3 linked regions of the Notamacropus eugenii genome follow. The main gene of each other region encodes a partner of the protein of the gene in region 3 in a complex. Links are inferred from orthologs where the notes say so. Each region holds a gene or a part of one and is shown on either strand. Other genes may lie near its edges.

Region 1 (6,934 bases), on a different chromosome or scaffold from region 3:
CATTTGAGTCCATTACCTCTGTCAGGAAGTGAGCTTACTTTGGTACTCTCAAATTGTGTAAGATCATTGAATTAAGAACACCAAGTCTTTTGAATTTTTTTTCTTCATATTGTTACCACAGAATTTATCTTGGTTATGCTCATTTCAGTCTGCTTTAGTGCATATAGTATCTTTCCTTTTGTAATTTCTTATGGTTCTATGTATCCCATTAAATTCATATAACATAATTTGTTCAGCCAATCTCCAAGGGATTTGGCATCTTTTTAGTTACAGTATTGTTGCTAAAACTAAAAGAATTACTACAAAATACTTCTCTGTGTGTGGATCTTTTCCCTCTTTCTTTGATCTCCTTGGGGGTATCACTTTGGGATCTAAAAGCAGAATCAAATAGTGAGTCAAATAGCATGCACAATTAGTTTAGTGACTTTTGGAATATAGTTACAATCACTTTGTGGAATGCTGGACAGATCTGTAGTTTTACCAACTATGCATTAGTATGCTTGTCTTTCTCAGAGTCTCCCTATCATCATCATTTTGCTTTCCTTCCCCCCATTTTTACCAATCTCTTGAATGTGAGGTGGGAAATCAGAGTTGTTTTAATTTGCATTTCTCTGATTATTAGTGATTTAGAGTGTTTTTTTATAATGGCTGTGATTTATAAATTTTTTTTCTTTAGGAAGCTAATTTATAGCTCATTCAATTTATTTTTTCGAATCAGGATTATCTAAATCCTCTATTTCTTCTTCTATAAATCTAGATATTTTATAAATTTGTAGATAGTAATCTATTTCATTTTAATTATCAAGTTTTATTGGCATAAAATTAGAGGTAACCAGTGGTTCAATCTTATTTGCATAAGAGCTCTCCTCATTGATGGAGAATTACTTTGTGTCTTATAGAGGGGCATCACTGTTGAGCACTTGCTTGAAGAGAGGTACTTGTAGTGGCTTCCAGTTTTGACAGAGGAGATACATGGTAATAGAATTTTCTTCAGAAAAATGTCTCTGAAGGGAGGGAAAGAATCTGGGGAAAAGCTGACATAAAAGATCTGGCACCTTAACAGTATTTCTTTATTGATATTAATTTTTTCTGCCTTACTTTCTGAACTCAGCCCTAACTTCTGAATGTGCCAGGTCAGCTGTGAAGAAATAATGGTGCTTTGTTTGGCCCAGATCAGTATCACCTAGGGTCTTTCTAATGCTTCCTCCAAATACTGAGCTGCATGTTCTTCAAGGACCTTGGGTGGCTCAGGCTAGTAAATTGCTGACTTTCAGAGCTTTTTCTTCAGGCTCTGGCCAGGTCTAACTATTGCCTTCTAGATCTGAGCTTTGCAGACTCCTGACCCAGTTCTGGGATCACACCTACACACCTATAGAATCCAAGTGTTTGTAACTCTCCCCTAGGGGTATATATCTGCAGGCTAAATTTTTCCCTAGCTCTCCCCTCCTCAACTGATGACATGTTTCTGTGGACTTCATTCATGAACCTGGAATTTTTGACTGGACCCCATGCATAGTTTCCAGCCTACACAATCAAAGTCTCTAGGTTTTCCCCAGTTCAGCCTTGATCTACATGCTGGAAGCTTTCTTGTGCTATGCTACATAGTTGTTTATTCCCCCCTGACTGGACTTTACTAGTAACCATAATCTGGTTCTATCTTTTCATTATGCCCCTCCCTGTCCCCACTTTAGCATTCTCTTCAGACTTACCAGGCAATTAGTCAACAAACAAATAATTTAAGTGCCTAGTATTTCTAGGAACTGTGCTACAAGCTGTACATAAGTACAAAAGATAAAGCATTTCCTGGTTGCAATGATCTTACATTCTAATGAAGAGACAAAAAGTACATATAAAATAAATACACAGTATAAAGATTAAATAAATACAAATACAATAAGATACAATACAAAGTAATTAAATACAAGGTAGTTTGGGAGGAAAAGCACTAGGAGTTGAGACCAGGAAAGTATTTATATAGAAGATAGTACCTGAGCTGCATCTTAAATGGGTGTTGGTTAGGAGGGAATCACTGGAGAAAGAAATGGCAAACCACTCCAGAATCATTGCCAAGAAGACCTCTTGAACAGTATTAGCTTGCTATGGTCCATGTGGTCATGAAGAGTCAGGCATGAGTGAGTAAACAAGCAAGGACAGAATGCATTCTAGGAAGATGGGAGATGGGAGTGGGGAGCAAAGAGAAAGCCAGTTTGATTGTGTCGCAGTTATGGTAGGGGAAGTAATGTCCATTGAGGCTGCAAAGAGGTTGAGGCCCAGTTATATGGAGTGAGAAAAGCTAAATAAAAGGTCATCTTAGAGGCAATAGGAAGTCATTGGAACTGGCTGAGCAGGGGAATCATATGGTGAAATCTGTGCTTAAAGAACAATATTTTAGCATCAGTTAGGAGGCTGTTGGAATCATTTAGGTGAGATGAGAGCTTGGAGAAAGTTGGCAACTGTGTGAGTGGAGAGAAGGGCTTGAATGTCAGAGGTGTTAAGGTAGAAAGAACAAAATTTGGCACCTTATTACATGTGGTATGAGCCAGGGTGAGATAATGCTAAGATTATGAACCTAACACATTGGAAGAATTATGGTGCCTTCAACAGTAATTGGTAAGTTTGGAAGAGGGGAGGGTTTAGGGAAAGGGTTCTTTACCTTTTTTGTTTCAGTTCTCTTTAGAAGTTTAGTGAAGCTTATATACCCCTTCACTTTTTACTTGCCTAGCTGCTTCTTCTCAGTCTCTTTTACTTTTTTTTTCATTCTGGTCATGTGTACTAACTCTTGTGTATCCCCCAAGTTTTTGTTATTATCTTTCCCTCTCCAAACTTTCCCCTTCCTGATCTTTCCTATTACTATAAATCTTCCTGTTCACCTAGGCTCTCAACTTAGGTATCACCTTCAACTCCTGTCTTTTTTTGTACCCCATTGTATGGCATAGTGCCAGGAACACAGCAAGTGCTTAATACATGCTTGTTGACTTCTCACAACATTTTTTTGAAAGGATAAAATACATAGGATTACAAAGAAAACTAATTATATTGAAATAATTAACAAAAAAATGAATAATTCCTGGTTTGGAGGGGAAAATGAATTCAGTTTTAGACCTATAGAGTTTAAGAATTTTTCAGGATGTCCACTTTGAAATATTCGCTAGACAATTTAATGATGCAGGATTGAAGCACAGGGGAGACTGAGGCTAAATATGCACATTTAGGAGTCATCAGCATAGAGGTCATAGTGAAATCCACAGCAGGTGATGAGGTTATCGATAGAGTATGTTGGTTCAATGGTTGTTCCACATATTCAATATTCCCTTTTTTGCCTTTGAACTGTGAATACACAACAACTTCACCTAGGTCTCTTAGAAATCTTAATTTTCTCCAGCTTAGTTTTAGTGCTGCCTCATAGGAGAGGCCCTTCTAGATTCCCTGTTGGCCAGTTATTATTCTCCCACCAAAAAATTATGTCCTATATATTTTATATTGATTTATAGAGCTACGTTTTATTTTACCCTATTGTAAGAAAGCTCCTTGAGGGCAGCCCCTTACATGTACTAAGTCCTTAAAAAAATACTTGAAGAAGTGAATGATCTTTCCAAATCAATTAATAACAGCTGAAAAGGACACGGGGCTAAGCCTGATGAAAGGAAGAACTTTCTAAGGTTAAAGCAGGGATATTTTACTCGTCTATTTTGATAACTTTCCTACATTCTAATGTATGCCTTTTATTTTATGCATTCAAAACCAGGACTCTGAGAAGAGTTTCATCTGACTGCCCTACGGGTCAAGGACTGATAAAAGGGTAGTATTAGAGATGAATTTGGGCAGTCCCTAAATATTCTGAGTAGGCTCCGCCCCTCTTCCACTTAAGGGGAGGGGCACGCAGGCCGGCAGACCAATCCGGGCTCTCTGAGGCGCCCCAGCCAGCGCCGTTGCTATTGGCTGGAGCTCTGGAGGAAACAGGAGGGGAGGGCCCCCTCCTACCTCTTCGGTTGCTATCGGCAACGGAGCGCCGCGGTAACTGACGTAAACGCCTCGCTCCGCTCAGCTCTAGACTCCGGTCCTCCTCCCTCTCCCTCCCCGTCCCACCTCTAATCCCTTTCGTCTCCACCCCCTTCCCAGCCCTAGCCGCCGGTTTCAGCAGGGAGCCGGTGGCCTTCTCCTTCCCGCCGGGCAGAGCTAGGCGCTAGCGCTTCTCCCTTCCGTTGGTTAGGTCGGTCAGCCGGCGTCGATTTAGGGAAAAGGACGGAGGCCAGCCGCTTCCCCGGGCTGCGCGTCCCCTCCTGGTGAGTCGGCTGCTCTCCGGGCTGTCAGCCGCTGACTTTTCCGGCCTGCGGCGACCATGGCTAACTTGGGTTTGTCCGGGCCGCTCCTGCGTGGGTGTGCGCGTGCGCGCTTGCGTACTTGAGTGTGTACCTTAGCCTCGCGCTGGCGGTACGTGGCTGCTGCTGCCGACGTGCCCCTCGCCTGCCCACCCCCACCGCCCGCGCTGCGCGTCCCCGGGGGTGCGTGCGCCTTTGCCCAGGCCCGTGGTGGCTACCACCGCGCTGCTGCACGTGTCTGTGCCCACGCGAGGCGCCAGGGGGCGAGAATTGACTTCGAGAACTCACGGTTGATTAGTATTTCGGACTCTTGACCACCAGAATCTCACGGGTTTTCTGATTCCGGAGGGAGGGATCCCAGAGCCCACCTAAATTATCCAGCCTGTACTAGCAGAACATTTCCAGATATTGGCAACATTTCGTCGTGGTGTTGGCTTCGGGGGTGGGGGGGAGGGGGGAGTATTTTGTCGCACACGTTTTGTTTTTCTTTCCCTTTTTTGCATATTTTGTTACACGAGTTTTTTCCTTTTTGTGTGTGCACACTTTGTTACACAGGTTTGGTTTGGTTTTGCTTTTGATGGAGTTAGAAATCCAAGACAAATAAAGTAAAAAAATATGCTGCAGTCTGCTTTTGGAGATCATCTGTACTCTGGCATTTTGTCGTGAATCATTGTATTGATCTGAGCAACTAAGTAATTCATAGTTGCTCATTGTTACAATATAACTGTTCCTGGATACAATGTTCTGACTTCACTTTGCTTGAAGATCTGAATTCACATGTGACCTCAGACACTTACTAGCTGTGTGATCCTGGGCAAGTCACTTAACCTCTATTTACTTCAGTTCTTTATCTATCAAATGAGGTAACACTGGAGAACACCCCATAGATAAAAGTCCATGGGGTCACTTAGAGTCAGACATGATTGAATGGCTGAACTACAACAACAGTGGTGTTGCTGGTATGCAGTTTTATACCCCTTTGAGTGTAGTTCCAAATTGTTCTGCAAAAAGGCTGAACCAGTTAACAACTCCACCAGCAGTGCATTAGTGTCTCAATTTATCCATATCCCCTTCTGCATTTGTTATTTTCCTTTTATGTTATCTTATACATACAGCCTGATAGCTGAGAGGTTGTGCTTCAGAGTTGTTTTAATTTGCATTTCTGGTGATTTAGAACATTTTTTATGTGACTGTTTATAGCTTTGATTTCTTCTTCTGAAAACTACCTGTTCATATCCTTTGACCATTTATCAACTGGGGAATGGCTCTTATTTTTGTAAGTTTGGTTCAGTTCTCTATATATTTGAGAAATGAGGTTTATATCAGAGAAATTTTGTTGTAAAATCTGCACACACACACACAGAGTTTTCTTTTTTCCTTCTAATTTTGGCTGCATTAGTTTTGTTTGTACAAAAGTTTTTAATTTAATGTAATCAAATTACTCAGTTTATTTCCTGTGATCCTCTGTATGTGTTGTTTGGTCATGAAGTCTTCCTTTAGCCATATATCTGATAGGTACGTTTTTTTCATGCTCTCTGATTTACTTATATTACCCTTTATGTCTAAATCATTTATCTATTTTTGACTTTATCTTGGTAGATGTTGTGTGATGTTGGCCTATGCCTTATTTCCTCCAAGCTGCTTTCCAGTTTTCCTAGCAATTTTTGTCAAATATTGAGTTCTTACTTCAAAAGCCTGGATCTTTGCCTTTATTAAACGCTAGTTTGCCATGGTCTATTCCACTGACCTACCATTCTATTCCTTAGCCAGTACCAGATTGTTTTGATAATTACTGCTTTGTAATATAGTTTGAAATGTGGAACTGCTAGGTTGCCTTTCTTCACATTTTTTTTCATTCATTCCCTTGACATTCTTGACTTGTTCTTCCATGTGGATTATGTTATTATTTTTTCTAATTTTATCAAATAATTTTTTTTGATAATTTGATTGCTATGGCACCGAATAAATTACTTGTGATAGAATCATTATTTTTATTATATTGGCTCTACCTGTCCATGAGCAGTTAATATTTCTCCCACCATTAAGATCTTCCTTTATTTGTGTGAAGTGTTTTGTAATTTTGTTCATATAGTCCCTGGGTTTATCCCGGCAGGTAGCCTCCCACATATTTTATTTTGTCTGCAGTTATTTTAGAAAAGACATATGCAGACAGATAGGAAGTACCAGAATAGACCAATATGTAGAGAGAAAAGAGTACCCAGGAGAAGAGGGTGATTAACTGTTAAAAGTTATAGAGAAGTCAAGCATGGTCAGCTGAAGCAAATAGATTATGCTCCAGCCCCTTATTTTATCTGTGTGTGCGTGTGTATGTGTATTTCCCTGTTTCAAGCAACATATAAGTAACATATTATTGTATTCTGGTTTCTAATCCTTCTGCTATCTGCTTCCATTTTATAAATGAGTTCATTCCATTCATATTCACAGTTATAATTACTGTGTATTTCCCTTCATCCTATTTTCTGTTTATTCTTCTCTTTACCCTATCCGTCCTCTAAAGTCTGTTTTGCTTCTGATAACTGCCTTCTTTCATCTGCCTACCCTTTTGTCATCCCCCTACCCCTTCCCATAGTCTTTTTTTCTCCTACTTTCCTGTT
Region 2 (6,999 bases), on a different chromosome or scaffold from region 3:
TTACTCCCGTGGTACCTGGGAAAGTGAGAGAGCATTGCCCATTATCCAGAACCCAGGCAAGCATGCCATCATGAGTGTGACATGGAATGATGATGAACTCCTCCACTCTTCCACTCTAACGTACTTGACCATTGGTCATCCAGTATCTATCGCCTCTCAAGGAGGCATATTTCATGTCTGGAGAATTCTAATCAGTAGGAAGTTTGTCCTGAAAACAAGCCTCAACTTACTTTGCCTTTTTGCAACCTCATCTATTACTCTGGGCCTTGAGCTGAGGTAGCTCAGTGGATTGAGTGCTGAGCCAAGAGGCAAGGGGACCTGAGTTAAAATCTGTGCTCAGATACTCAATGACTGTGTGATCCTGAGCAAGTACCTTAATGTCTACCTGCCTCAGTTTCCTCAACTTCTCCAGACCAAAGAGAACACCTCTATTCTCTCTGCTACATAACAGCCCCTGTGCGTTCTCTCCCAGCCTAGCATTTATAAACTGTCTCCAGTCTACTTTTCCACACTTACTGACCCTTACTCTTTTTCATTCTACTTTCTAGTCAAACTGGCTCATTCCTCAGCATGGGAGGTGCTCTTTCATCTTCTCACGGTGTCTCTTGTGCTTGGAATGCATCCCTGCCTCCCCTCTGCCTGCCTGACTCCCCAACTTGTATGCAGGCACAGCCCAGGGGCCTTTCCCTCTTCAAAGTTTTTTTTTAAATTTTGGGTTTTTTTAGGTCAACAAAATTTTCCCCAGCATTTATCACCATCCCTCTGCCCATCTCATATGTTATTTCCTTTTTATATGTAAAGAGCATGTATCTACCATTGGGGCATCTGGCTCTTCCATCCTGGCACTAACACAGGAGACTCTGGATGTTATATCTGAGCCAGCCAGCAGGTGGAACCTGCGAGCCTGAGCTGAGAGTTAGAGTAATTGTGCATGGGTGGACTGACATCAGCAGTGGACATGAGCCTACGGGGAACTGAGCAAGCTCAAGCCCCAGCTGTCTCCGGCTCTGCTCAGCTGGATTCTTTTCAGCATTGGGCACATGGAGGGACAAGACAGCCTTGTCAGTGTCCATCTTCCACATCCCTTGAGGGGTGTCTGTCTAGCCGAAAACTATGAGAGTTTCTATGCCAATGCACATGCTACGAGATGGCTCTAGCCCCAGCATCCATGGGCAGCAGCAACTTCCAGGGATTATTCAACTCTTGTACAGGTGAAAGGACTTTGCATAATCTAAACCGAAAAGTGAAAGATACAGAATGAGAATTATGGGGCAGCTAGTGTGAAATTCCCCCACCCTTCTCTTGCGTCAGGGGAAGTGGTTTTAAGATGAAGGGAAGGGAGAAGCCAATCACCTTCATCCCATTTCAGACCCAGGTGATTCAGGGTCAAGTAATCTCCATCTGTTAGCCAGCTCAGGAAGCTCCCCAGGCTTCTTGAATTACTTACAAAGTCCCTTCTTCCTCTGACAGGTGCCATCTCTTCCTTCCTGCTGTGCTGGACTCTTGCTTAGGCCTCTTGTTCTCCAGGCCAAGCACCATGGCCTTCTTTGAAAAAGTCCCTATATGGTGTGACATTAGATAACCTCAGGAAACTGCCTTCCAATTAAATGCCCAGAGGCCATTCTAGCATTAAAAGACTGCAGGAAAACAATAAGTGTTGGCTGAAACAGGCTGCTTCAGACAGAGGTGACATAGCTATTGACCTATCTCCAATGTGTTTATCCATCCACACCTACATAACTATCTTTCTAACGATATCACCTCTCTCTATATCTATCTAATCTATTCATCCATCCATCCACATCGATCTATAGATAAGGGGCAGCTAGGTGGTGCAGTGGATAGAGCACCAGTACAGGAGTCAGGAGGACCTGAGTTCAAATCTCACCTCAGACACTGGACATTCACCTTGGGCAAGTCACTTAACCCCAAATGCCTCATCCTGGGTCATCTCCAGTCATCCTGATGAATATCTGGTCATTAGATTCAGATGGCTCTGGAGGAGAAGTGAGGCTTGTGACCTGTACAGCCCTCCCTCACTCAAAAAACAAAAGTCAAGTGCAAGTCATGTCATTATTTTTCTGATGGCATGGTCTTCTTTGGCACCGAAGGACGAACACACATCTATAGATATCACCCATCCATCCATCCATCTCCGATTTATTTATCCATCCACACCTACATATCTATTTATCTTTCTATTGATATTGCCTCTCTCTATTTATATCTATCTAATCTATCCATCTGTATGTAAGGTGAATTTTAGTGTGTGTAAAGTGAATTTTTGTAATTATTTCTCAGAGTCAGTTTCCCAGGATCCATAGCCATAACAATCTCTGGTTCCCAGGTACTAGATATGAGTCCCACAGTTATGGTTCGAAGTGTCTCCACCACGCTTGCGCATGGTTATATAATGGTGAATAACATAAACATCCACTGCGGCTGCACAGTGAGATACAGGGATGGGGCGATGGAAACTTGTGAGGCTGCTACTGGCAATCTGCCTTCTTTGTCTGCTGGCCTATAAAACAGGTGGTCACTAGATAGTGAATGGGTAACCCTTAGTGTTGAATGCACAAGCTGGAATGCTGTGTGTGCCTTGATCAGACCCCATCAAGGTTTGGAGGGAATCTGTGTTTGTCTCAACTGGCCCCCACTGAGGCTTGGGGATTTAGGGGACGCACAAGTTGTGCCTGTCCCGATTGACCCCATAGAGACATAGGAGTAGTTGCCCCCGCTTCTCACCAGCCCCTGTGAGAAGGGTGATTAGTGAATGCTGTAGGAGTTTGTGCTCTTACTATCAGCAACTTCTTCAGAAAGAACTAGACTAGAATAAAGTAAGATTATTAACCCCTTTTTAGTGTCTTTCCTGTCTGACCAAATCAAGAGTGAACCTGTGCTAGCAGCCCTCAAGTGTGCTGTGTTTTCATCTGTCTTACACCATCCATCCACATTTATCTATTTCACCCAAATACCTATATTCATCCATCCACATCTATAGATATCACCCATCCATCATCTAATTTAATTATCCATCCACACCTACATATCTATCTATATCACCTCTCCATTTATATCTATCTAATTTATCCATCTATCCATATCCATATCTATGATCTACCTTCATCCATCCATCCACATTTATCTATCTCATCCTCTATATACTTATATCTATCCATTCATATCTAATTTATCCATCCATCCATCCATCCATCCATCCATCCATCCATCCATCCATCCACCCATCCAACCATCCGTCCATCCATCCATCCATCCGTCCATCCATCCATCCACCCATCCTTCCATCCATCCCTCTACACCATCTGTCTGTGCACATGTGTAATCCCTCAGCAGAATGTAATGTCCTTGCCTCATTTTTGTCCTTCCTCACTGCCTGGAACACGGCAGACACTTAATAAATGTATGCCGATTGATCACTTCCCAGCTCCAGCCAAATATTGCTTCAGGGATTGCTTTCTTTTTGACCTTGTAGCCTCAAGCACTTTATAAGAGGCCTGAAATGGATGGGATTTCTGGGGGTGGCTGCACTGAGAAGAAGGCAGTTTTCAGCAGGACTGACAGGTGCTATGCGGGAAGAAAGTGGTTTTACCGAGAGTGGCAGGACAGGGTTTTCCTCTTGGTTGTACGGAATAAGAAGGTGGAAGGAAGGTGAGGGACACACTCAACATGGCCGCATGCTTAAGCCCACCTGCCACACTTAACATGGCACGCGGTCACTCTATTCCACCCCCACCCACTCCCGGCTAGAACGTTTTATGAACTAGAGCCTGTTAGACATAGTCTCTTCCCAGCTCCTGAACCGCAGACCAATCAGCGCCCAACAATGGGGTGGGCGCAAGGGATCTTGGAAGGAATCGCCTTCCGAAAGGACCAATCAGCAGTGTGCTGGGCGGGCACACACAAAGGGAAAGGGAGCTCTTTCATTATCGCCCCGCCCCATTCTATCTGAGGCCCAATCAGCGGCGTGCGAGGGGAAGGCGAGAGATACCTACTGGTCCCATTTCCTCTCCGACGACCAATCAGCGACGCGAAGGCGTGCACGAATGGTGCGCAGAGAAGACCGCGAGCTTCTGTTGCCAGAGCAACGGCCGGAGCAGGCCCCGGAAGCCGTTCACCCTGCTGACGGTCCCGAAATCTTCAGGTTTCTCGGGTAAATGAGGGGTAGGGGAGGCGAGGGTCGGGCGCCGAGAGACGCGAGTACGTGTTCCTGTACAGTTGTGCTTGCCAGAGAAACAGCGCCTGCGCAGAGGCTGGAGTCATGAGCGTTTTGCCTCGCTCCGGGGATACTGCGCATGTCTATTTGGAAGGAGGGGGCGGAGTTATAAGCCCTAAGGGGAGGAGCTATGGAGATGGGCGGAGTTACCGAGTCTGTAGCTAATAGCGCATATGCCTACATGTATACGTACGTATATATCGTTTTAAGTTTTGCAAAGCGCTTGCTTTACAGATATTATCTAATTGAACCTCAGAACAACCATGGAAAGTCTGTGCTATTATTATCCCCATTTTGAAGTTGAGGAAACTGAGGCAGAGGTTGTGACTTGTCCAGGGTCACTCAGCTACTAAGTGTCTGAGGCTGGATTTGAACCCAGATCTTCAAGACTTTGGGTGCACTGTTCTATCCACTCAATTGAAATCATGATGTGCTCATTTTACAGATGAGGAAACTGAGGCCCAGAGACATGTCCAAGGTCAGGCAGCAGTTTGGTCGCTGCTGAACTTCATTCTTTGTAGTCTTCTGACATCTCTCCTCTCCACTGGGCCATGGCTGAGGTCCATGTCATTGGGCAGATCATTGGGGCAACAGGTTTTTCTGAGAACAGCCTCTTCTGCAAGTGGGGTGTCCATACTGGTAAGTATGTGGGGATAGCATGGCCTCATCTGTTCACATCTCTGGGGAGTCCTCTATACCTTCCCCCCACCCCCGGGGAACTTGACCCTTGACCTTCCTTGTGCACTCAGCTGGAGAGAGTGTGGAACAGAAGGGGAAAGTCCTGAGGTCTTCCTCCTGATTCTTCAGGACCTGTACCCCAAATTGTATCTCCACAGCAGAGTCTTTGCCCACTTAATGGGTGGGTGGGAGATCCTTCAACTCCAAAGAGGCCTAGACCCCCCTCCTTTCCTTCTTTCCTTGGGGACTGTGAGAGTCTTTAGTGGGGGGTGGGAGTGTGGGGATATGAGGAAGGTTTTCGTCCTACATGGAACTTACTGCCCTTCTTTTTGGCTAGACTAGATTTGGAATTATAGAGGCAGAAAGGGACCTAGAGATTTCAGCCAGGAAGCTCTTTTTACAGTAGAAGAAGCCAAAGTCTAATTAGGTCACTGATGGGACCAGGACTTGAGCCCAGGGCTCTTTCCAGTGCCATAGCGGCCCCTCCCTCTAACCCAACAGAATCCCTTCTTCTAGTCCCTCCCTCCCTCCCCTCAGTGACCCTTTCCTTTCCTGACTGGCAGGAGGAGCATGGAAACTGCTGTCCGGTGTTCGGGAAGGCCAGACACAAGTGGACACCCCTCAGCTGGGTAGCATGGCCTACTGGTCTCACCCAATTGACCTGCATTTTGCCACCAAAGGCCTACAGGGTAAGGGCAGGGGTCCCAGGCTCTGAGTAAGTGAGCTGGGAAGGGACTGCTCCAATTGGACAGGGAGATGAGGCTCTGTCCAGTTCAGGGCACCTAGTAGTCCTTCAGGCTGGACCCTGGGGTTGGGGAATCCCACCTGGACCCCCAGAGACTGGGAAGGTTGAAGAGAAAGACAAAAGAGACTCAGAGATGGTCTGTGTTGTTTATTAGACCTGACAGATCTGTCATTTGTGGGTGCTCCTGGTCAGAATATGGGCATCAGTGGTTGGCGGGAGCAGCTTAAGATGGCAGAATGCCTTTGGGGGACTGGGAGTGGCTACAGGAGCCTGAACAAAATCAGGGAAGGAAGACAGAAACCCAAGCCTTGGGAAGAAGGGCAGACTTGGCCAGCAGAAGACTGAGGTAGACCCTCTCCTCTCCCCAGGCTGGCCTCGGCTCCACTTGCAAGTGTGGTCTCAGGACGTCTTTGGCCGCTGCCAGTTGTCCGGCTATGGCTTTTCCCACATTCCCAGCAGCCCCGGCATCCATAGCCTTGACTGTGTGACATGGCGCCCCTTGGGTGGCTGGCGGGAGCAGTTGGCTCGGGCCTTCGTGGGTGGTGGGCCCCAGCTGCTACACAGTGATGTAGTCTACAGCGGGGCCGACCGATACCGGCTCCACACAGCAGCAGGGGGCACCGTGCACCTGGAGCTGGCCCTGATCCTGAGAAACTTTTCCCGATATGGGGTTGAGTGCTGAGCACCTCGGCCAGCTCCCAAGCCCTTATCCCTCCATCCCCCAATTCTCCATCTCACTTCCTTCCCTCCCCTCCTCTTTTCTGTCTGTCCCCGGGCTCCTGGCCTCAGCAATCAATCAACCAACTCTTACTGAACTTTTATTATGTGCCAGGTACTGCCCTAAGAAAGCCTTGGGGTACCAAGAAGGAGCAACATGGCTCTGTCCTGGGGCATCCATGTCAATGGGGGCGATTTCATGTAAAGAAATATATGAATTGGTCTATACAAGATTCCGACAGAGTACAAACATCTCATTTCTATCCCTTCCTTACTGTCAGACCTGAGTCCAACCCCTTGTTTCACCAGAGGGGGAAACTGAGCCCAGGGATGCCCTGGTTGAGTGACTGAGCCCCAAAATGTCCGAGTTCAAGGGAGTCTTAGAGACCCTGGATGCCATCTAGTTCATTCCACTCTTTGGAAAATGGGGACACCTAGGTCCCTAAAGTGAAAAGCGCCTACTTCCAGGGACCTGGAGCCCGGGGTCCAGCCATTGCAGGGCCTTCTTAGACCCACTTCCTGGACTCCTTCTGGGCCGGGTGGATGATGTTCCCCTTGTGACCCTCCCCTTCTGCTCTTTCCCCTTTCCTCCCCTCCTTGGGTCATTCCCCCCAGAGGCCAGGCT
Region 3 (7,764 bases):
CCATAAATATTTTAACATGTAAAAAAATACCTTAGAGAGAGAAATTAGCAAATCATCAGCCAATTCTTCTTGGCGAGGCAAATCATCTGGGTTAACTCTTCGTATCGTTTTCCAGTCCAAAGGCATCTTGACTTCTTTCACTGTGTCTCTGGACCTGCAACAACATATATTCATCAGCACGTCCATAGTAAACAGAACAACTGATATACAACAGGGTTCCCTAAGAATCCCCCCTGACGGGGTGAAGTTCCACATTATGTTGTTAACCTTACACACAAACAAAAGAAAACAAGAATTGGGCAAAATTCACTAAAACAAAATGAAAAGATCAGCTACAGTTAGTTAGATGCAATCAGGCACAGTGCAAAGAATGCTGGATTTCAAGTTAGAGGATCTGGATTCAAATCCTGACTTTGCCATTGTTGCCTGTGTTACCTCTAGTAAGTCATCTAACCTACCGGGCTTCAATTTCTCATCTTTAAAATAAATAAGTTGGACTAAGTGACTGATCAGATCTTTTCTGACTCTAAATTTATAACCCTCTTTTGTAGGTCTGTACTTAACATCACAGCGATTTGACTCCTAAGTTCCAAAAGGGAAAATCTATGAGTAATGAGAATTATTGGCAAAGAGACAAACTTGATGTTAAGGAAAAACTGTCCAATAATGGGAATTACTATCACAGCAAAAAACAATAATAATAAGGCCAGACTTAGTGATCAATGTAGATTATACAAGAAAATGGTATAGGGAAACACAGCAGAGGCTGTAAAAAGTTTAGCACCCACAGAATACCCAGCAACATGCAACCAGCTGGCTAAAATTATGCATCAGAAATGCACTGTCTTTCATGGATTAACAGACAACAAATCTCCATGTTACATAGACCTCCAAATACCCTAGACAACTCCACAGACCAAAACAGGAATGAACAGTCATCACTGACCATACTGTCCTCTATATAACATCCCAAATATAACACTTATTCATAAAAATGTTTTTAATAGATGGTATCATCACAAATACTCATAATCTCTAAACTACCTGGAACAAAAAACTTTCAAAATATAGAGACCTGGTTTCATCACAATCAAGCGGAAATGGGACTAGGTACATACCATTCCAGCTGTCTTGTTCTCTACTGTTTTTGTACAAATGAAGGTTTTAGGAGGCCTACAGAGCATGTATGTGTCTGTTCGTCCTTTGTTGCCAAAGCAGACCATGCTATCAGAGAAATGATGACATGACTTGCACTTGACTTTGTTTTGAGTGAGGGAGGGCTGTGCAGGTTACCAGCCTCACTTCTCCTCCAGAGCCATCTGAATCCAGTGACCAGATATTCATCAGAATGACTGGAGATGACCCAGGATGAGGCAATTGGGGTTAAGCAACTTGCCCAAGGTCACACAGCTAGTGAATGTATCAAGTGTCTGAGGCAATATTTGAACTCAGTCCTCCTGACTCTTGCACTGGTGCTCTATCCACTGCACCACCTACCTGCCCCGACCTAGAGAGCACTGGGTTGCTAGAAGGACAGAGCACCAAATCTGGAGTCAGGTTGACCTGGGTTCAAGTCTAGCCTCAGACACTTACTAGCTGTGTGACCCTGGGCAAGTCACTTAACCCTGTTTGCCTCAGTTTCCTCATCTGTAAAATGAGCTGAAGAAAGAAACGACAAGCTACTCCAGTATCTGCGCACACAACTGGGGTCATGTGGACAAAACAACAACCTACTATAAAGATGAAAATGGTAATAATGACAATATCAACTCATATGCTTATAGCACTTTAAGGTTGGCAACATGTTTTTACATGTGATCTCACTTGTCCCTCACAACAACCTTGTGAGGTAAGAGTTATTAACAAACCTATTTTACAGATGAAAAAAACGGAGGCTCAGAGCAATATCTTGCAGGATTCGAACCCAAGCCTTTCTAACTTCACCACTCTTTGCATTCCCACCTGTTGCCTGCCTCCAAAAGTTGCCCTAAGGGGCCGTTCCCTTCATTGGAGATCTGTCACAGGTTGGATGACCCCCTGTAAGAAAAGACGTTAAGAGGTATCCTTACCAAATCAAGTCCATAAGTATTCATTAGGTGCCAGGGCACGCTGCTAAAATTTGAGCAAACAAAGCAAAAACAGACCACACCCTCAAGTAGCTCACTCAAGAAGACCTCAAGGCGTCTAATGATGGGGGGGGGGGGGGGGGGGGGGGGGGGGGGTTTAAAGGGAAAGCAGAAGAAAGTAACTATGTTACACACCGGCTACACGAAGGATACATTGTAGCTAACCACGGAGGGGAGGGCACCTCCCCAACCACTTAATGGGGCTGGAAAGGCTTGTAGAAGGTAAGATTTTGGTTGAGAGCACGGAAGAAGCCAGGGGGCAGAGGTGAGGCTGGTGAGAGGTCTGGTCCCCGGAAGAAAGCTCGTGAAAATACACTGGGTCCGATTCTTACCAGTTCTGATGGGTGTGGAAGGGGGTAGGGGTCACTCGCTAAATTAAGAGGTAGCTCCCACAATCCAGGTTATGCATCACTCTGCTCCTGGCAGCAGGAAAAGAAATTACGGATTTAGAGCTAAAAGGAGTCTTCAGAGATGCCCCAACTGCTTTACAGAGGGGGAAACTGAGGCCTAGCGATTCGGGGAGATGCCTGCGGACCTCCCAACCCTCCAGGCTGACTCCTAATCCAGGACTCGGGAAGCAACATCCACCCCTGGCGCACGAGGTGTAAGATCTGGGCAGGGGGCACCTGGAGGAGAGAAGAGAGAGAGAGTCGGGAGGGCTCCCTGGCGCACTGCACTGACCGGTGACAGGAGGTGGCGGAAGGAACAGTCCCGCAGGGCACCCGCCCTCCTGGAGGAGGCTCTGTCCTCTCTCAGCCCGGGCCAGCTCGCCCGCGCCGCGCCTACACAGCGGGTCTACTCGGGAGAGCGGCGGCAGCGGCTGCTAGGCGACCCGAAGGTTTCCCTCCCCCTCGCCCCAGTCTCGTAGATATGTAGAGCGCCACCACCGATCCAGCCCGAAGTCCCGGATGCCGAACTGCTGAACTAGCCTACATTTCACGACCGCTAGGCGATGCTTTACGGCCCCAGCCCTAAGCGAGGTCTCAACGCCACAGGTTGGGATCGGAGATGAACCGAGAACTCCGATTCCCAGAGTGCACCGGGGAATGCGCTGCGCATGACGGGAGATGTAGTTCTGGGCGAGCGCACGGAGGTGTGCAGTTCCCGGCGTGCAGTGCGGCAAGTCTTTGGAGTCTGAGGAGTGTGCGGAACGTCCCTGGCGGGTCTCCGGCGGCGCTCGCTCGCTCTCAGAGGGGCGAGGAGGAGGGTGCAGCGGGACCGGCGTCCAGAGAGGGCTTTTCGCGTCTCCTCAGGCCCTCCGCGGGAGACGGGTAAGGAGCGGCGGGCGCGGGGCCGGGCGGTCGCCCTTTCTCCCTACACAGCCGCGGCCTCCTCCTCTTTTCCTTCATTCTCCCGAGAGCGGGGGGAACATGGGGGAGTAGCGCCCCCCTAACCCAGTCTTCCCCAGCCCCACGCCCTTTTTGACTCTCCTCTAGACTGAGCGAGAAAAGTTTCTTCTGCCTCTACTAACTGGGCGAGGAAATGGGGCCACCTGGTGGAGGGGGAGGGGAGAAGAAACCTCACCCCCGCCCCCTCCCGCACCTCAGTCCCTCCCTTCCTTACTTCTCGCATCCCTGGCGGCTGCCCCCCCACCCCCATCCCTGCCCCCAGGAGCGGACTCTGTACTTTGGGAGATTGTGGATTAATTAGAGTCTGGAAGACCTGAGTTCGAGCCTCCGTGCCCCTGGGCAAGGCAGGTCCGAGAAGATAAATTAAGCCAGACACAAATTATATTATAGCATTTATAAGGTGCTTACTGTGCAGCAGTCACTGTGCCGATCTAAGTCCTGGGCATACACAAATAATAAACAGCCAACGTTTTTATGGCGACTGCCAAGTTCTGGGGATAAAATAACAGCAGCTAGCATTTCCATAGTGCCTACCATGTGCCATATGCTTTACCAGTATGATCTCATTTGATTCTCACAACTCTGGGAGATAGGTGGTATTATCCCCATTTTACAAGTGGGAAAATTCAGTCAAACCCTAGGGTCTTACAGCTTGTAAGTCAGAGGTTGGATTTGAACTCAGGTTTTCGGGAACTGTGAAGATGGACTAGTCACTGTTAAGTGCTAGAGATACAGATAGAAGGAAACAATGTAGTACTTGCCCTCAAACACTTTATATTCTGAAGGAAGAATTTAAAAAAAAAACATAAAAGGGTTTAGGAAGTATGTACATTGCTGCATAATTTGAAAATGGCCTGGAAGAGGCACCTGGAAAGCTGAAAGTCCCAGGGACAGAGTTTAAACTCTGGTAGGAAGGCAGTGAGGCAAAATAAGATAATTTGGGGAGGGAGAATTGGAGAGGGATATTAGCCAGCTACCTTTAGGCAATGGCACTTGTGCTGAACTGTGAAGGAAGCCAAGAGTTCTGGTGAGGACCTACATGCCTGACTTGAGGAGACAACCCTTGCAAAGGCTTGGAGACAGGAAATGGAATTTCTAATACAATAAACAGCAAGCTGGACAGTTTGAGAGGCATGTAGATAATGTGAAGGAGAGAAACGAGCAGTAAGTTTAACACATTGTGAAGGTTTTTAAAAATGAGAATGAGGTTTGGTTTTTGTTTTGTCAATCCAGGCAAAAGGGAGCCATTGGAGCTCCTTGAGCAAGAGAGAATATGGATACACCTGTGCTTTAACAGCTTTGGAGAAGGGAGAGGACTGAACAAGGCTATTGCAATAGTTCAGTCAGTTGGCAGAGAAGTGATGAGAGCCTCAATTAGGCTGTTAACCATGGGAATATAAAAGAAGGGAATTAAAGATACATTGTGAATGGATCAAAGATACATTGTGGCTGTAGCATTAATAAGAGTTGACAGCTGATTGGATGTGTTAGAGAAAGAAGAGCTGAGAACAACTCCAGGGTTATAGAAATGGGCAAGTTAGAAAAAGAGAACAGTGATGGGGGAAGCTAATGAGGGTTGTTTTGGACATGATGAGTTTAAGGTGCCTGTAAAGCACCCACTGGTTATGAGATAGTAGGACTGTTTATATTTGTTTGTAAAAGATCAAATCTGTAAGTCATCAGTGTAGAGGTGATAATTGGAAGCCATTGCGATCATCAAGAGTACAGCAAAAGAAGACAAGAGGGCCCTGAGATATATGCAGGTATAGAAAGTAGGAGAAGAATAATGATCCTGCTGGAGCCTGAAAACCAGAGGAAGAAGATGGCTGTCAGGAGTGTCAGGGAGAGGTCAAAGAGAATGAGGACTGAGAAAAGGAGAGAGGAGTGACTGAGGTAAGAAAGTGTAGGCAATGAATATGGGCAGCCTTTTCTAAGAGTCTTGATGTGAAAGGAGAGCAGAATAGTAAGGCACCTAGGAAGGATGTTGTCAAGTAAAAAAGTGTAAGGATGAGGGAGGTGGGGGCCTATTCATAAGAAATAGGAAAGGAGCCGGTGAATAAGGATTAGTAAATCAAGAAGTATGGGGATGAAGGAAGGATTGAGCTCCAATCAAAATAGCATATGGTGTGTGTAGTGACTATCAGATATGGAACACAGCAGTCTCCAACAAACTGCACTTGAGGTCCACACAGAGAGAAGGCACTGTCATTGTGAGCAGACTATACTATATAACAAATAAGGAGTTTTGAAGAATAACGTAAAGGACAGGTTTCATGAAAAGGGCAAGGGATAACAGTTTGACTAAAGGAAGCAAGGAAGGCCTCTAGCATAAGAATCCATGGATGGGCAAGAGGGACAGGCATGAATTTGCTTCTTTGAAGGGAATGTCCAAAGTGATGACATCATGGATCATTTGAATTTGAGTAAGTGCAGAAAAGAGGGAGGGATAAGTTGTGAAAAGTTTTGGCAGGGAAAGGCTTTCCCAGGAAAGAGTGTCTAGTGTATAATCTATCTTTATACTTGCTTTTTGGCAGTGCTATCTTGAATTTTGTGGCTGTCATTGTCAATGTCAAAAGAAATTCCCTTTGAAAATCATGCTATATTCTTACCAAACTGTAATGAATTTTGTTTTTAATTTATCTAAAACATCTGTGACCAAAAATATTAAATCATTGATGCCATCACTATATAATTTAAAGGAGCATAAGATGCCAAAAGACTAGGAAAAGTAATTGAGAGACTTTTTAATAAAACTTATCCCACTTGAGCTTCATAATCCTGTGCAGTGGGTACTACAGATTATCCATATTTTACCGATAAGGAAGCTGAGATTCAGAGAGGTTAAATGACTTGTCTATGCTATTAAGAATTAGAAGCAGAATTTCAGTCCAGATCAAAATCTTCTGTGTAAGTTTGGCACTCTGTCTGCTAACTTAGATTCCTTCTATATGCCAGAAACTAGGACTGATTATTTTAAACTGATTTTAAAAGACACATAAACATTCATCAGTGCTTTACTTAGTATATAGTACCATCAAATTGTATGTCAGCATAATTATTAGTCAGGTATTTAAATATTATTTATATTGACAATGTTTTCAGTCCTTGATTTTACAGGGGGAATGAAAACCTTGCTTAGAAATTTTGTATTTAAAGCATGGACCTAACTTGGAATTATGAGACCTGAACGCAAGTTCTAATTCAGTATGTTATTTAATCTTGGAAAAATTTAATAAAACTAGCCCTGAACCATTGTCTACATCATTGCCTTCATTTATTTGAGTTAAAGTGAGAGCTTTTGATGTGATCCTTTTAAAAGAAACACTTATCTTAGAGCCTGGTTTCATTTTCTTTCTTTTTTAGGAATTCTTTATCCTATTAAAATATTTAAACAAGAAGGACTTTTCTTTACACCTCTATATTTGTTATCCCCAAGAAACTGCTTAGATTTTTTTAGGAGCTACCCTTGTTCCCTTCTGTCTCCATGTCATTAAAATTGGCACTAGCCCACATTCCCTTGACTAAAATAAATTACAGCCACTTCTAAAATAAATGTAATATACATTGCTAATATCTCTTTAATATCTCTCACAGAGAAATGAGTTTGCTCCATACAGGCCTGTACTTGAAATGATCCTTTTAAATAAATGTAAATTTAGGAGAGAAAACCAGGGCCCTTTGGAAATTGTTTCATGGTAGATACTTTGAAAGATATTGTGTGTACTGAAGATGATTCTCTACATTGATTTATGTAAACTTATTAAGACCAACTACAATGTATTATTGTTTGTATATGAAGATAGTTCTCTACATTTTGTAGTTTTTAAGTCCATGTCTATATTGCCTGATAGCTGTTAATGATATCAAGCTGTGGATTTCAAAATTTACATTATAAAAGATTCAAACTAATCATGAGAGGCTTGATTTTTTAATTTATGTTCCTGCTAACAGGGAATATATTGACAAATTCATAGGAATCAGAGCTAGGAGTAGGGGTTTAATTATCTTAGTCTTTCCTTTTTATTTTACAGTTGAGGAAACTGAGGGGCAGATATGTTATAGGGGAGGTGACTTGCCCAAGAAGAAAAGCAAGACTCACATTTTTATTTCAAAATGAGTATTCTTTTCATTGTACCACCCTCCTTTATTTCTTTGACAAACAGATTGTCTCCTTAGTCACATCCTTTCCTCCTGATTTCCGGAATCTCTCGCCTCCTCTTTGTAGCCAGACTTCTGTCCTTGGAGCATTCCAGACTAAAATCTTCCAGCTTTATCTCAGGTTAGTTGTT

What was found.
Region 1: CEP290 (region 3) and AHI1 share a complex: the UniProt entries of both Homo sapiens proteins name them as parts of the tectonic-like complex. The link is inferred for Notamacropus eugenii from reciprocal best matches to the Homo sapiens genes CEP290 and AHI1.
Region 2: CEP290 (region 3) and B9D2 share a complex: the UniProt entries of both Homo sapiens proteins name them as parts of the tectonic-like complex. The link is inferred for Notamacropus eugenii from reciprocal best matches to the Homo sapiens genes CEP290 and B9D2.

Annotation. Positions count from the first base shown.
Region 1 is NC_092873.1:221,568,094-221,575,027, reverse strand, and holds the start of AHI1 (jouberin), read left to right. Parts: upstream 1-3,931; 5' UTR 3,932-4,283; intron 4,284-6,934. UniProt on the Homo sapiens protein: Involved in vesicle trafficking and required for ciliogenesis, formation of primary non-motile cilium, and recruitment of RAB8A to the basal body of primary cilium.
Region 2 is NC_092876.1:29,864,275-29,871,273, forward strand, and holds B9D2 (B9 domain-containing protein 2), read left to right. Parts: upstream 1-3,996; 5' UTR 3,997-4,171; intron 4,172-4,679; 5' UTR 4,680-4,785; coding exon 4,786-4,873; intron 4,874-5,475; coding exon 5,476-5,601; intron 5,602-6,025; coding exon 6,026-6,339; 3' UTR 6,340-6,607; downstream 6,608-6,999. UniProt on the Homo sapiens protein: Component of the tectonic-like complex, a complex localized at the transition zone of primary cilia and acting as a barrier that prevents diffusion of transmembrane proteins between the cilia and plasma membranes.
Region 3 is NC_092874.1:270,072,912-270,080,675, forward strand, and holds the start of CEP290 (centrosomal protein of 290 kDa), read right to left. Parts: upstream 3,073-7,764; 5' UTR 2,808-3,072; intron 2,546-2,807; exon of another isoform or gene 2,459-2,545; intron 2,038-2,458; exon of another isoform or gene 1,963-2,037; intron 155-1,962; 5' UTR 127-154; coding exon 31-126; intron 1-30. UniProt on the Homo sapiens protein: Involved in early and late steps in cilia formation. Its association with CCP110 is required for inhibition of primary cilia formation by CCP110.